Saccharomyces cerevisiae S288C: one gene and its partner. The protein of the gene in region 1 interacts with the protein of each later gene in a pairwise test. Each region holds a gene or a part of one and is shown in the gene's direction. Other genes may lie near its edges.

What was found.
Region 2: the proteins of ENT3 (region 1) and YOR111W interact in a two-hybrid assay, tested with the Saccharomyces cerevisiae proteins (2 studies listed by BioGRID).

The regions. Positions count from the first base shown.
Region 1 is NC_001142.9:654,116-657,690, reverse strand, and holds ENT3 (Ent3p), read left to right. Parts: upstream 1-1,727; coding exon 1,728-2,954; downstream 2,955-3,575. Other genes in the region: VPS70 (putative zinc metalloprotease), read left to right, coding at 1-1,437; YJR124C (uncharacterized protein), read left to right, coding at 3,453-3,575. UniProt on the Saccharomyces cerevisiae protein: Involved in the recruitment of clathrin to the Golgi network and endosomes to form clathrin coated vesicles. Plays a role in the trafficking of clathrin between the Golgi network and endosomes.
Region 2 is NC_001147.6:528,578-531,787, forward strand, and holds YOR111W (nucleotide diphosphatase), read left to right. Parts: upstream 1-1,851; coding exon 1,852-2,550; downstream 2,551-3,210. Other genes in the region: phosphatidylinositol-3-/phosphoinositide 5-phosphatase INP53, read left to right, coding at 1-24; transcription factor TFIIIC subunit TFC7, read left to right, coding at 364-1,671; COPI-interacting protein CEX1, read left to right, coding at 2,931-3,210. UniProt on the Saccharomyces cerevisiae protein: Nucleoside triphosphate pyrophosphatase that hydrolyzes dTTP and UTP. Can also hydrolyze the modified nucleotides 5-methyl-UTP (m(5)UTP) and pseudo-UTP. Has weak activity with CTP.

The DNA.
Region 1 (3,575 bases):
TTCAGTGACACTCCAGGAGATCCGACAACTCCAGGGTATCCCTCCAAGGATTCCGACACTGAACATATGTCACCGGTAGGGAGAGTGCCGAGGATACCATCGGTGCCGATGAGTGCTAGAGATGTCCAACCAATTTTAGAAAGATTGAATGGCAGGGGTTTTCAAATTGGGCCCGGTAGTAATATAAAAGATTTTGGATCATTCACTGGACCTTCAAGCTCTATCGATAAAGTCCATTTGCATAATGAGCTAACTTACAACATCAAGGAAATGAGTAGTGTAGAGGTTAGTATCCCTGGTATATTCACTGAGGGGGAGATTATTATCGGAGCTCATAGGGATTCGCTCGCCTCGAGTAGCGCCGGTGATGCAAATAGTGGCAGCGCTATTCTTTTAGAAATTGCACGAGGAATGAGTAAATTACTTAAGCATGGTTGGAAGCCACTGCGTCCTATCAAACTAATAAGTTGGGATGGTGAACGATCCGGCCTTCTGGGATCTACAGATTATGCAGAAGCTCATGCTGCGATTCTCAGGAGAAGGGCCTTGGTATACCTAAATCTAGATAATGCAATCTCTGGGACAAATTTTCACTGTAAAGCCAACCCACTTTTACAAGACGTGATATACGAAGCTGCTAAGCTCACGGAATTTAATGGGCACGAAGACTGGTCATTGTTCGACCATTGGAAATACACTTCTAATGCCACTATTTCTCTACTTGATGGGTTGTCTAGTTACACTTCATTTCAGTACCATCTTGGAGTGCCCGCTGCACATTTTCAGTTTAATGCCAATGATACTTCAGGCGCAGTCTATCATAGTAACTCCGTATTCGATAGCCCAACTTGGTTGGAAAAATTTACCAATTCTGACTACAAGTTACACAACACCATGGCCATGTTTGTAGGTTTGACAACGCTGATGCTGAGTGAAAACGAACTGGCAAGATTCAATACACATGTTTACCTGAAGAAAATATATAACTGGTATATCGCATGGCACTCTAATCTATCTTCAGCATTTCCCCAGGACGATGAAGTGAACAGCTTAGCAAAAAGGGTTCTGGACTTATTAAAAGTTGCCACACAGGAAGATAGCATCCAATTTGACCAACAAAATGGTATTCTCTATAAAGAGTGTAGGGAAGCTTTACCTGTTTGGGCTTTTTACAAAAAAATCAAGAGCTATATTAAACTGCAACGATCCAATAGCAAATCAAAGCAAATTGATCAATTATTTATTACACACAGAGGACTGAAAGACAGGGAATGGATGAAGTACTCTCTTTTAGCACCTAGTAAGTTTGAGGGATCTGTCGGGGAAGTTTTGCCCGGCCTTCACGAAGGATTGGCTGATATTGATAGAAACGAGGTCATTCAGTGGTTAACCATTTTGCTAAGCCAATTCAGCAACGTTCGCTATTTACTTCAATAAGCATTTAAGTACCTCACCTCAGTATATACATTTATTTTATTTGCATACGTAGAGTGACTTTGAATAATAACCATGAGAGGCTTTTTTGTATATACTCTATAAACATGGCTTCAATTTCTTATACATGTCACACCGTACGTTGTGCGAGGTGATTAGGAAAAGTAAAAGGGGACTAGAAGAATCATGAAATGATTTGTAGATACAGTTATTTGAGGAAAGCAAAAATTACCAATTCAGGAAGGTGTAGGGACGTCGATAGGAGATCACATCGTTAATTAGTGTTAGGAAGAATGAGTTTAGAGGATACATTAGCCAACATGTCATTATATGACGCCAAGAAATATTTTCGTAAAGCTCAAAATGTTGTTTTCAATTATACTGAGATGGAGGGGAAAGTTCGTGAAGCGACAAACAACGAGCCTTGGGGTGCCTCATCCACTTTAATGGACCAGATTTCTCAAGGAACTTACAATTTCAGGGAAAGAGAAGAAATTTTGTCCATGATATTCAGAAGGTTCACTGAAAAGGCAGGTAGTGAGTGGAGGCAAATTTATAAAGCCTTGCAATTGCTCGATTACCTTATCAAACACGGTTCTGAAAGGTTTATCGATGATACAAGGAATAGCATTAACTTAATTAGGATTTTAGAAACTTTTCACTATATTGATTCCCAGGGAAGAGATCAAGGAATTAATGTCAGAACTAGGGTCAAAGCTTTGATTGAATTATTGAGCGACGATAATAAGATACGCGCAGAAAGAAAAAAGGCAAGAGAAACGGCAAAGAAGTACAAGGGCGTTGCTGGAGGATCTGCCTCTGCTGATGGCAGTTTGAATTCGAAGGCAGGTTTCACGTCAACGAAAGTGCACGGCATTAGCGTGAGTGCTGATTTCGATAGTGACAATGAAGATAACGAAGATGGTTCTTTTAGTCAAAATGGATATAACGATAATGCCTCGAGAGCCACATCTACTCCTGGGCAAGGAAAACAAGAACCAGAGGACTTTGTTGACTTTTTTTCTAGTGAGTCTTCAAAACCATCTAAAGAACTCATACAAGAAGATGAAAAGAAGGCGGACGAAGAAGAGGACGATGATGACGAGTTTTCAGAATTTCAAAGCGCCGTCCCTGTTACCAACCCTGCTAATTCGTTTAACTTGCTAAACACGAGCCCAATTGAGGGTATGCCCGCCACCACGAGTTCAATGCCTTTTTATAACAGCTCCACTACCGACCAAGGCAAGATTACCCCAGCTATTGCGGAACCTAAAAAAGTAGATCCTTTTAGCTCTCTCTTTTCAACTGCAAAGGCATCTGCAGAAGCACCTAGTGCTCCTAAAGCATCCCAAGCGAAAGCCGCTGCCTCTAATCCTGTATCTAATAGCACAACTGCACTAAGTACAGATCAAGATGATGATGACGAATTTGGTGAAATGCATGGTGGAGCTGTTCAACAAGAACAGAATACCAATAATAACCATACATCATCCAAAGAAATCGATTTACTTTCCTTTTGAGTGATATTATTGGTTTACACAATATGTAAATGTTTTATAACAATAGAAAGTACTTTGTAACAGGTATTACGAACATTACTATCTAATCTCCACTGTATTTCTCCTTTATATGTTTGTCTTGATTTCGTGAAATAGTTTGTGAACATTTTTTTGATCTTTTTTTCGTAAAGAAGGGCCCTTTTCAAATTTATTTACATTTTGGTCATTTGAAAATACTTTACTTAAAAAGACGAGGAAGAAACTGTAAATCCATAGTTCGAGAGTTGAAGTGCCCTTCAAAACAAAAACTCCTGACTTTTTTTGCTCATTTTTAGTCAATGAACTAAAACTCACCTTCCTTCTCGTTTATTTTTGCCTAGCATTATAGAGCAATTATAACTATATATTAAAGTTGACGCACCGAAAAAAAAGGCACGAAAGAAAACTCTACTAATTTTTCACATCTCGAAAAAGCTCATTGCAGAAGGATTTACCAATATTTCTAAAGTTAACGTAACCATGGCACCGGAAATTTTTGTTAAATTCAAGTGTGCAAGTAGAGACATAAAGCTACTATGGGCGTCCGTCTTTCTTAGACTTCTATCATATGGTTTAACAAATCAAGTTTTGACGCTTTTTTTA
Region 2 (3,210 bases), on another chromosome or scaffold:
TGGCAGCCATTGACCCCAAAATGAGAATATGTTATCTTTGAAGTGTGGTTGTTGTTCCGTTTGTATCCCTTTAAATGAACGAAGAGAAACAAGGGGGCTAACCTGGCCAGGTTGTTTTATGTGATTTTATTTAGATAAATATTTATATAAATATTCAGTGAGAGAAAAGGAGTGCGTTAATAAGGCGCGCCGGGTTTAAAGCTGAAAAATAGGACACATTAATATATATACGTTAAATATTGGTGAATACTTATGGGCAAGGTGGAAGAGAATCTCTACTATCCATAAATCCTCAGTAGGCTTTCCCCTAATTACCTTCATTTTTCTACCTCAATAACATATTACTCCTTTTCAATACATTTTATGGTGGTGAACACGATATATATCGCAAGGCATGGATACAGATCCAACTGGCTTCCGGAGGGTCCATATCCTGACCCACTTACAGGAATTGATAGCGATGTTCCTTTAGCAGAACACGGAGTCCAGCAAGCCAAAGAGTTGGCCCATTACCTTTTGTCCTTGGATAATCAACCAGAGGCCGCCTTCGCTTCTCCATTTTATAGATGTCTTGAGACTGTACAACCGATAGCTAAGCTGTTAGAAATACCTGTTTATCTAGAAAGGGGTATCGGGGAATGGTATAGACCTGATAGAAAACCTGTTATTCCAGTACCTGCTGGATATGAGATACTAAGCAAATTTTTTCCAGGTGTCATTAGCCAAGAATGGGACTCTACATTAACACCAAATGAAAAGGGTGAGACAGAACAGGAGATGTATATGAGATTCAAAAAATTTTGGCCCTTATTTATTGAACGTGTAGAAAAGGAATATCCAAATGTTGAGTGCATACTGTTGGTCACACACGCTGCATCTAAGATTGCCCTTGGAATGAGCTTGCTGGGATACGATAATCCTCGGATGTCTTTGAATGAAAATGGTGATAAAATAAGAAGTGGTAGTTGCTCATTAGACAAATACGAAATTCTTAAAAAAAGCTACGATACTATAGATGAAACTGATGATCAAACATCCTTTACCTATATACCATTTAGTGACAGAAAATGGGTTTTAACGATGAATGGGAATACCGAGTTTTTGAGTAGTGGTGAAGAAATGAATTGGAATTTTGATTGTGTGGCAGAAGCTGGTTCAGATGCTGATATCAAAAAGAGACAAATGACAAAAAAAACCAGCTCACCAATACCAGAAGCAGATGATCAAACGGAAGTAGAAACCGTTTATATCAGTGTTGATATTCCCAGCGGCAATTACAAAGAGAGGACCGAGATAGCAAAGAGCGCAATTTTACAATATTCCGGTTTAGAAACAGATGCTCCGTTGTTTAGAATCGGAAATAGATTGTATGAGGGAAGCTGGGAGAGACTTGTTGGCACGGAGCTTGCTTTCCCAAATGCTGCACATGTACATAAAAAGACAGCCGGTCTACTATCACCGACTGAAGAGAATGAAACAACAAATGCTGGTCAAAGTAAAGGCTCATCGACTGCCAACGACCCAAACATACAAATACAAGAAGAAGACGTTGGACTACCGGATTCAACTAACACAAGTAGAGATCACACGGGAGATAAAGAAGAGGTTCAATCAGAAAAGATTTATAGAATAAAAGAGAGGATAGTGCTAAGCAATGTCCGCCCTATGTAATATGTATTTTGTAGCAGCAGCAACCTTATTTAAAGAACACAGGTGCATCTGCTTGTTTATTACCTTTCGTGTATTTTACCAGACGAAAAGCGTGAAGAGACGTAAGGGCAAAATAACCCAGTTGAACACAAGAAAGGAACATCTGACCGCATCAAAAAAAGAGCACATTCACCAAACGTAATGTCTGGAAATAGTCAACTGCCACCCGACGTAATCGGGTTTATATGTTCTAAGTATGATATCATTTTGGCCAGCACCTCTCCACGGAGGTATGAAATTTTACACGATATAATGGGAATCACCGATTTAAAAACAATGGTTTCTACTTTTGAAGAGAATCTTGATAAAATGAATTATTCTACCGATCCGATTGGATATGTGTGCGATACTAGCTGGCATAAAGCGCAGAATATAATCGAGATTTTGACAGATTACGAAGATGAAAACCCAAATGAAATTGATAAACCTAAGCTTATCATATGTGCAGACACAATTATTATAGATAAGAGTGGGAGAATCTACGAGAAGCCTAAAACAAAAGAGGTCCAAAAGAAGTTTTTAATGAAGTTTTGCTATGAAGATGATGAACCAGTTAACGTTGTCACCGCTGTGACTTTAATTAAATGGTACGGCAGAGAAAACTTTGAATTGGTACCATTCCGAGATGAAACCAAGGTATACTTTGATAACAAAATACCTTTGAGAATATTGGAAGAATATGTAGAAAGCGGAGATGGGCTGGAGGTTGGCGGTGGATTTAAAATACAAGGGCAAGGTGCTATTCTAATTGAAAAAATTGAAGGTGATTACTATAACGTAGTTGGTTTACCGCTCAATAAAACGTTCAAAGGACTCTATGCTGAGGCTAATTCCATATAACCTTCGTTTAGGTTTTCTTTGGTGTTGCTCAGTTAACTATGTTAATCTTTGCAACACCAGAAGAATGAGTGGAACGGATATTAAAGGCCACATTGGTGAATAGATACATGCGCTAAATAACACGGCTATTAACATTCTACGAGACAGTTTTTCGATTGATGGTAAAGAAAGTTTAAAGCAATACGCATTTTGAATTTCACGCTTTCGCGCACATCTTCTATTTTTTTCACCTTCAAAAAGGCCCTTTCTCTTTGTCTGTTTATATTATGATTATATTAAATATAAGTATCTTAAAAACAATAATATCGTCAAGTTATTTAGTCGAGAGTTTGACACTGTTACTATCGTTGCTTTTATTGGTGAACAAGTATCTGTAAGTGATGAATTTTTCCAGCATTTTCAAATCTATTTCGAATTTCCAGTTCCCATACACCATAGAGGAAACTGCAATCACTGAAACCGCCCTTTGGCAATGTTTCGATGGTACAAGGAAGGCAGATTCCTTGCCAGTAACAGTTTTTAAGGCAAAAAGATCTCCAGAAAATGAATCTTTAATTTTAAATGCTGTACACAAGAGCAAAATTTTGAAGATTCCAGGACTTTGTACGGTGCTGGAGACATTTGATTCCGACCCCCAATCCACATTTATTGTTACCGAAC